Linked DNA regions of Daphnia pulex. The protein of the gene in region 2 purifies or fractionates together with the protein of the main gene of each other region. This does not show direct contact. Links are inferred from orthologs where the notes say so. Each region holds a gene or a part of one and is shown on either strand. Other genes may lie near its edges.

What was found.
Region 1: the proteins of protein ECT2-like (region 2) and NAD-dependent protein deacetylase sirtuin-1-like purify together in Homo sapiens (affinity purification with mass spectrometry; 3 studies listed by BioGRID). This does not show direct contact. The link is inferred for Daphnia pulex from reciprocal best matches to the Homo sapiens genes ECT2 and SIRT1.

Annotation. Positions count from the first base shown.
Region 1 is NC_060021.1:10,714,624-10,719,234, reverse strand, and holds the start of NAD-dependent protein deacetylase sirtuin-1-like, read left to right. Parts: upstream 1-1,796; 5' UTR 1,797-1,882; coding exon 1,883-1,985; intron 1,986-2,318; coding exon 2,319-2,442; intron 2,443-2,515; coding exon 2,516-2,777; intron 2,778-2,837; coding exon 2,838-2,960; intron 2,961-3,024; coding exon 3,025-3,218; intron 3,219-3,276; coding exon 3,277-3,695; intron 3,696-3,765; coding exon 3,766-3,883; intron 3,884-3,947; coding exon 3,948-4,219; intron 4,220-4,283; coding exon 4,284-4,474; 3' UTR 4,475-4,611. Other genes in the region: neuropeptide FF receptor 2-like, read right to left, coding at 1-126, 197-340, 425-603, 667-697, 759-1,031. UniProt on the Homo sapiens protein: NAD-dependent protein deacetylase that links transcriptional regulation directly to intracellular energetics and participates in the coordination of several separated cellular functions such as cell cycle, response to DNA damage, metabolism, apoptosis and autophagy.
Region 2 is NC_060024.1:8,172,946-8,177,446, reverse strand, and holds the start of protein ECT2-like, read right to left. Parts: upstream 2,896-4,501; 5' UTR 2,701-2,895; coding exon 2,589-2,700; intron 2,524-2,588; coding exon 2,456-2,523; intron 2,398-2,455; coding exon 2,134-2,397; intron 2,064-2,133; coding exon 1,851-2,063; intron 1,790-1,850; coding exon 1,643-1,789; intron 1,585-1,642; coding exon 1,450-1,584; intron 1,392-1,449; coding exon 1,241-1,391; intron 1,173-1,240; coding exon 949-1,172; intron 887-948; coding exon 698-886; intron 633-697; coding exon 264-632; intron 164-263; coding exon 44-163; intron 1-43. UniProt on the Homo sapiens protein: Guanine nucleotide exchange factor (GEF) that catalyzes the exchange of GDP for GTP. Promotes guanine nucleotide exchange on the Rho family members of small GTPases, like RHOA, RHOC, RAC1 and CDC42.

The DNA.
Region 1 (4,611 bases), on a different chromosome or scaffold from region 2:
AATGGTGAAAGGCAGGTAGCAGATGAAGAAGCCAATCAGAATGAAGAAAAGCATCCGAATGATTTTCTGACGCTGGGCCAACTGCTTCAATTGAATGGCAGAGCAGGTCGAAGTCCGCGATTTCATCTGTAAACGTATTTGAAACCTGCTGCCGTTTTAACCAATCAAGAGGATGTAAAAGAAGCTGATTACATACAATAATGAAGATGAAAATGAATAGAACAGTCATGACGATGAGGGGAAACCAGACGAGAATAGCGTCGAGGGAGATGTAGTACACGAAAGAGAAGGAAGTGTTGTCGATGCACCAGGACTCCAATATATCCTTCCATTGTCGTTCCTGTGTGTTGAGTCAAATTGGCGGCGGCAGATGATATAACACCCTAAATAATTCTGATCAATTTAAAATGCTTCTTGGTCGTACTTTATAGACGCGGGCTGCGATGAGTGGAGAGGCGATGGCCGCTGAAAGGATCCAGATGACTCCGCAAATAATGTAGGCTGCCGATTGGCCCATCCGCGGGCGGAATGGAAATGCGATGGCAAAGAAACGATCAAAGCTTACGGCCAGCAAGCTGAAGACGTCCACCAACATCAGCATCACTTTTGATTTGAAATATATGAATTACTTGCCAGTTTTTTTTTTAAAATGAAGCTTTGAATTACCTCTTAAAAATCCCTCGGTTCGACAAATAACCTTCCCAAAAATGTAATGGAAATTATAATTATTTGATAATAAAACTGACTGGTTTTGAAACCTCTCCGAGAATGAACATCTGGTAGAGATCGATGATTAAAATTATCCACGGGATGAGTAGGATAGTTAAAAGATCGGCGATGGCCAAATTCCAAATGAAGATGTTGATGGAAGTGCGCAAAAATCGATTGGTGGCCATGAGGTAAACCACCAAACCGTTTCCAAGCAGACTGATGATAATGACAGGAACGAAGAATCCGATTTTCAAGGCGCACTCCCAGGTGGGACGGACAATCCACAAAGGAAATGGGAAGTTGACGTTTGAAAAATCCATTCCTGTGAAAGTCTGAAATTCGCACGAACGACTTGAGTTCGGTTATTACGTGTGGGAAAACAATGAATTCACTTACATTGAAAAAAGTAGTAATTCCTTGCTTGTCGGAAGGTAAATCCAGCAACTGAGCTCTGCTGTTGTTTATCAAGCCTGATCGTTCTCGACTGGAGTCAAGTACTTACCGGATCCCGCAGCACTAATAATCCTCACACACACTCAGCGCAATTGTTGTGACGCACGCTTTCAAACAAGAGCGGCCATATCGGGCGGCCCCGTGTGCTATGCCTATCAGATTTAATTAAGTTCGTCAAATCGCTAGACCATGTTTTACAACTTTTGGGGGTATAACGCACCGCGGGCCGGCTCACCCCTATGCGATTTGGTTTTATGGTCCACGAATATTATAAGTCAGTCAAACCTCGGGGTCGCTTCTCTAGTACAAATGCCATACGTGAATTATTTTCCCGATATCGCGTAACCTCATTCGTGATGTTTAGTACATCTTGAACTAATTTTTTTCTCAGTTTAATTTGGTGATACTGCATTTCTGATAAACCTCCTATTAAAAAAAAAATTATAATCAGCAGCTTTCCTCCTTATGCGAAAATCACAATGCCTTATCTGAACCGCAACGTGCGGAAAGTGGACTAAGGTTGATATAAAAGCTCGACAAGGAAAGGCCTTGAATTAATTCCCTTCCTATTTCATGTATACATGTCCTTGCGCATATTTTCTTCCGGTTTCGGGACGAATTCGATTCATACTGGCAACGCTGACCTGCCACCTGGCGGCCCGAAATTTGTGAAGAAGAAGAAGCGCCCTCTACCCCACGATCGACGGAAGACGAAGCAATGGCCGACGAACAAGGCGAGAACTTTCACAGTCCCGTAAAACGAAGCAGAACTTTGCTGCCGATTGACATCTCACAGTCCTTTATTGAGGGCCAACAGCTTTGTAAGTACCCGTTTGATCGATTTCATTCATTTAATGTACTTGTGAACCTAATCAAAATTGTTAGCAAAAGATTGCATTCGGTTTTGAGGTAAATGGCCTTTTGCTTCGTTAGTGCGGCCATTGGCGGATGGGGGGGGGGGAGGGGAGACGCCCTTCTTTTTGGTCGATTGCTGCGTTGCCAAAATTTTGGGGCGGCATGTTTGAATGTCATAACAGTGTGATGACACTTGTCAAATACTGTTTTGGTTTCTTGAGTTGAAATTTCTTGATGGCTGTAGAGTTGATCCATTGTGAGCTTACTTGAAATATTTTTTTTTTTTTTTTAAATTTCAGCAAATGATGCAGGACAACTAGGAAGCTGTGAAATGTTCAACGCTGGGGATTCAGGCTTCAGCGAGTTAACGTCTTTAGCCAGCAGCGAGGATGAAAATCTCACTAATGATTTACCATCTACCAGGTAATGTGGACTAATGTCTTCTTTTTATTGTGTACAAACATATGGTCTAACTTTATTATTTATTTATTTGTAGCTATGCTTTGCCAGCCATTCAAGATGCTGATGATTCAATGGGCAATTTGGAGAAAGATGATGATACCTCCTCAGATAGTGATGTTTCAGACATAAGTGGGTTGAGTGACTTGAGCAATCATGACTGGGAGCCATCATCAGGGACGATGTCTTGGGTGCAACAACAGATGCTTCTTGGTACCAATCCTCGAACCATCCTGAATGAGTTGGTACCAAATGATGCTCAAATCCCCACCCATCTTGACGATGTCACCCTTTGGAAGGTAAAATTATAAATTTGTAGCATTGTCAAGGCAACTAATCATAATTATTGAATAAAACAGATAATCGTGAATATTGTCAGTGAACCTCCAAGGCGGGAACGTTTACGCCACATAAATGCAATATCCGATGCCGTCAGATTACTCCGTAGCTGTAAAAAGATTCTAGTTCTTACAGGAGCAGGGGTAATTTTTTTTTTTTTTTTTATAAAATAATTTACCTCATTATATTTGAACAAATTTTGTTTAGGTTTCTGTTTCCTGTGGTATTCCCGACTTTCGTAGCCGTGATGGAATTTACGCTCGCTTAGCCGTCGACTTCCCTGACTTGCCCGATCCTCAAGCTATGTTTGATATCCATTACTTCCGAAAAGATCCCCGACCGTTCTTTAAATTCGCCCGAGACCTTTGGCCAGGACAGTTTACACCTTCTAAATGCCACAAGTAAACAAATTCTCTTGACAATTTTGAAATTTCGCTAATGAAACGATATTTTGTTTAGGTTCATTCGTTTGCTAGAGAAACAAAACAAGCTTTTGCGCAACTACACGCAAAACATAGATACACTAGAACAACAAGCAGATATCGAAAGGGTTATCCAATGTCATGGCTCGTTTGCTACTGCCACTTGCCTGCGCTGCCAACATCGCGTCCCCTCGAACGAGATAGAAAAAGACATAATGGAACAACGCATTCCACTTTGTCCGAAATGCTCGGATGTGTCGAAAAATGAAGACGAGGCCAGTACATCGTCGTCGGTGGCATTATCGGCCCAGCCGATCATGAAGCCTGACATTGTTTTCTTTGGAGAAGGAATGCCAGACGAATTTCACCGCGCTATGGTACTCGATAAAGAAGAATGTGACCTGATAATCGTGATTGGGTCATCGCTCAAAGTCCGCCCTGTCGCACTCATCCCATGTAAGTTATTTTAAATGTCATCTTGTAACCTTAAAGTTCATATGCAATAAGTTTCTCTTGATTCAAATAGGCGCCCTACCGAATCATGTTCCGCAAATTCTTATCAATCGCGAACCTCTCCGCCACATGGTCTTTGATGTTGAACTGCTTGGGGACTGCGATATTATCGTCAACCAACTGTGTCATTTGTTAGTATACAGTAATTTTCATCAGCCAAATTTGTTGTCTCATCAATCTTCTTGTAACAATCAGACTGGGTACACAATGGAAAGATGACATTTGTTACCGCGAACCTCTAACAGAGATCAGTCGCCTACCACCACGCCCCACTCCTTCTGTCGCCGTACCTGCACCCATTTTCCCCAAAAGAGATCAAGACGATCCTTTACGCCGGGACAGTGGGATGTCTACAGGAAGCTTAGAAATGGAATCAGCCGAGTCTGGTGATGTTGAACCAGTTACTCATGACATGACCGGATGGTGGGAGCCGCGAATCAAAGTGAATCTTGCCGATCAACTCCCAGGTAATTTATTTTTGTTCGGTTGTTGTCTATGTCATCTATATGCATTTCCTTGCATAAAATTCAGAAAACACTTATCTCACCGTCCAACCTGGTCGATACCTGTTTCCTGGTGCTGAACTCTTCTATGACCCAGACGAAGAGGTAGAGTCCGATTCTGACTCATCCTCTGATTCCAGCGATTCGTCTGGAATTGATGGAGGAGATTCAACTCAACCTTTCCCGGAGCATGGAGTAAAAAGGAAAGCGATGGATTGACGACGTATTCCGAAGCAACGACAAAGCTTCTGTTTTTACCATTGTTATGTTAACAATATGGATTCTATTTAAAAGCTTCAAGCGTGTGTATATAGACGAAATCTCTCGATGGTATTTAGTATTTCTTTTTTTTCCTG
Region 2 (4,501 bases):
TAAAAATAAAATATGCGAACTAAGCAAATGGCTTTAAATTTACCTCAATGACGTCGGAGAATAAAAAGAGTGTCAGCTGCCCACCACGACCAACAATACCATCGCCCAATTCAATAACGTCGCATTGGGATACAAAGCTACGATGGGAAGAAACAATATGTGCCTAAATTTCAATTTGAAATAATGTAAAAATGAGTTGAAATTTAACATCTATTTTAATTAAAAGAAAAATTATTTAAATGACAAAATTTAACGAAGCTTACAGGACAGTTTTCGATGTCGTTGAAAATGTCAAAAAGGACAACTTGACCCTCAGTCCTCCGTTTGTCTTCATTGATGTGCGTCATTACTTCTTTGATCGTGGACAGAGCTTTCTCCAGTTCACCGTAATCCGGATTGCTTTTTGGGGTCTGCTTGAGTAAATCGTTCAAAAGCAAACTAATGGATGGTAGTCGTTGAACAGGACGAATAAGAAGCTCTTGTAGGCTCTGCCGTCGACATTTGGGATTACTCTGACCCAGTTTAAGGAATGCGTGGAAACGTGGCTTCGATCGGTCGCTCATGCTCAACACTTCTTTGGTTTGCTCAAAAAAGTTGACAAAAGGAGGGTAGGCCTTAACCAAGTCATGCGACTACAAAAGTAAAATATACAGTTATGTAAACGAATATGCTGGGTATGCGAAAATTCTTTACTTACATGCTTCAAAATTAAAGCTCCGACGCTGATGTCTTCTCTCCAGTTGAGTGCGGTATTTTTAAGTTGCACAAGTAACTCGAAATGGATTTCATGGATAGGCGGTAGATTGCCAAAAATGATTTTGACCTCCGTGGGATCAAGCAAAGAGCCTCCAACTTGGCTAGGATCCTCAAGTGGCTTTTTGAACACCTAGGGATGAAATGTTGAATTTATATATTGTGGTAAATAACGCGCAATAAATAACACCAAACCTCAACAATTGTCTCCAGTATTTCCACATAATTCATTTCCGTATGCAACAATTCCATGAACACCTGATGTCGAGGGGACATTGCTTTGAGATCCTGTGGTGTAGGAACGGAAATGGTGAGATCACCTTGACCCCCCACTTTCTCGGGACTCGTGGCATCTAGAAACGATCCACTTAGGCTGAGTAAGCCAGATTCACTAATCGAGGAACGGCGGCGATGAGTGTCTATGAATAAACAACATTTTCGTTAGTCATTAAAAGGGGGAAAAACTCCAAGCAATAAACATTTGTACCATGACCAGACGATGGAACTTGAAGTAAGCCAGGCGATCCTCCTTGAGCAGCAAGTTGAGACACTGTGTCTCTCAAGCGTTTACGCTTGCGGTTTCGAGATCCTGGAGTTGTGGGTGACAATACCCCATTCCTTGGGCTCGTCAAATGAGTCTGTAAAAATCCCGGGTTTTTAGAAGCGTTGAGTAAACAAAAGAATATCAATTATTACCTCTTTATAAGGATAAAGTTTTTCACTGGCACAAATATCCATTTGAATTGAAACCCAAAACCATTTAACTTCAACCAACATAGCTTTACTGGGTAGCTTCTCTGGAATGTTTCCAACTCCAAGGGGGTCTATTACCTATTAAAAGGATTTCGTAAAATTCCACCATTGTAAATCTTATTGACATGAAACTTACCACATGCGTGCAGTTAGGATCATCCAATGTAGTTACAGATCCTCCGTTGGTAGTCAAAATTTCGTTCATTTGAGTAACCTCCTCGTCATTAATACCTATCCAGCAAACATTGGTGCCCTCAAAAATCTTGAGTGCGTTGTTCGTTTGCTGCAAAACGGAAAATATTTGATGTGGTAAATAAATTTCAATAATGACAATGAAATAATACCATTGTGGAGTCAATGGCACGAACACTTAGATCGTGACGTTTTTCCCACGCTAAGTGGACCCACGAAGCACTCATAACTGGAATATTGAATGTGACTGCATACTGATATTTCTCTCCTCCAACTTTATTGGCAATAAGGTGGGTGATTTTGTTACAGTCAAATTCCTTTCGAATGCTGCCACCCATGTGATGGATACAAGAGACCAGTGTGTTCTAGTGATGGTAAAACATTATTCCAATTGTTAAATGATTGGAAAATTGCATTTCTTTTAAAGCAACTCACCACTTCCTCTCGATTTCTAAAGCCAGTGAAGCAGGATACTACATTCTCCATTGAAATAGAAAACAATGGCCGATCAAGTTCAGGCATAAAATACTTCTTAGAAACTATGTCAAGCAAAGCTGAGTAGCCCAGAATCCTGCATTCCTTCTTGTACAGAACCTCAAACACTTCATCGGAAAACTCATACAGAACAAACACTGTGTCATGCTGAGGGTTAACAAATTCAAGACCATCTTCTGAATGGAATACTGGTACTCCAAAACTCTAGAAAGTACATTTTTACAAATAACAACTTTGACATTTTAAATGTATAAAAACTTACTTCGGCAGCTTCTTGAACCCCTTTCACATCACACACTCTTCCCACTAAACATATCTTGGATGTAATAACTGAAATATTTACAAAAATATTTAATAGAAGTGACAGTTCTACATGATAGTAAAAATTTTTATACCTGGATGAGAATCCTCTTTATTCCTGCGAGATTTCTTGGACGGGGTTTGTAGAGTAAGGTAATTCATAGAAGCAGACACTGAACCAGACATGTCATACGTTGTCTCCATCATTTTGATTTAAAATAAAATCCACGGGTTGTAACGTTTGAAAATCAAACTCCCAAAATTTTTCTCAACCGTATAACAAACAAGACTGGAGCTCACAATCGAATTTCAAAAAACAATAAGTAGGCGAGCCATTTCTTCGAGTTTATTGTGCAACTGTAAACCACACTGGACTGCCTTGCATAAATGAAAAAGCCGAAATTTCAAATTTCATACAGCGTTGCCAGACAGTTTGCCCGTGTTTATACGAAAATTTTCCATTATCCTACCGCGACTCCGCGACCGTTATAAACACCATCACATCAATGCATACGTGTGTGTTGGTATGCACCTGCGGTAGAGGATCCTTTCTTTATCTCGGTGCTCACCAAACCCTAAGATGATGACAAACACTTTCAGTTTGCACACCTGGTGACTCGCCTGTTGAGGCATATACTTTAATTCCATTATTTTACCTGCTATTTTTAATACTTTAATTTTTTATAATTTAATTTTTAATAATTTCAATCGATTTTCAGAGTTTTCTGTTATAAACTTAAAATGAACAGGCTACACGTTAATCAATTTTAATTATTAATTCAAATTTTCTATAAATTAAAATAATATTTGGAGTCCAAATTTCACCTAATCTAAATAATGTCTTTCGTTCCAGGTTCTGAAAATATTGTATTATCAAACACAAAAAATTTTTATTTCGAGTTCTAATGTTCTAATGTCTCAACATTTTGAAAACAATTCAAAATATTTTTAAAATATTATTTTGAGCCCAATGTCAGGTCATAGATAAAGACGACTGGTTGATTGTCTCCTATCCTTTTAGCCCTATCCCTACTGACCCCGAGTTCTTGGAGTGCTTGTAGTGCCTCTAGCGGATAAAGTACTGTACTGTACCGAGGCTACGAAGGGTTTTGCAGACGAAGATTGTTTTCCTTCTGTCTTGGTAAAATTCTTGGCTGGCGTTTAAAAGTCCTAGGTAATTTTGTCATAACATTTTTATTAAGAAGTCACATTGTATTTAATTTTGACGTTTTTCAATGGCAAAAGCAGAGAAATCAATTAATTCATTGCAATTGAATAGAATTAAGCAGAGTGTAGAGATGCAAACGTACACTAGACACTAGAGGGCAGGACAAGTAGTCCAAGATCGGAGAAATCGGAGGAAGGGTACACGATTTATGGCAACAGTTGGCCATGTTAATTCTCTTATGGAGAGAGTCAACCAGTGGTCTTTATCTGTGGTCAGGTATAGGGCTGTTCGACTTGTTTTTTTTACAATTGTTACCATCGCCGCAACGCAGCATTTTAGTCAAGATGATGTCTGCTACAATTGTCCGCCCCACCTTGTCTGACCAATTGACGTAGGTCACATGATGTCAGATTTTGTCTGACAAAGCCAGAGAGCCCGCGAACAAAACGATCAAAACCTTTAACGAGAAAGTTTTAATAGTTTGAGCGATTCGTCTAAATGAGGAAAGATGGGAAATGGCCGTCTGTCGAATGTTTGTGGGGGCGTTCGGGAGTTATAGCCTCCCAAAGAGGCGAAATTTTGAAGAAAAATCAAAACTTTTTACGATGAAAAAAATTAACACCAAAAAAAGAGCGTGAAAAACTTTATCAAATGGTATGCAGTCAGACGTTAAAATCCGGGGAGAAATAGGGAACAGGACGCAGGTGGGTAAAGTTTTTCCCACACCTGCCAGTACTTTTTCCAAATGGCAACACCGCCTCCTAACCGCGAAATTTAAAAATCCTCATATTCTGTGGGAATTTTTAGTCTTTAATCCCGAAGTAAGATTCGTCTGCTTTC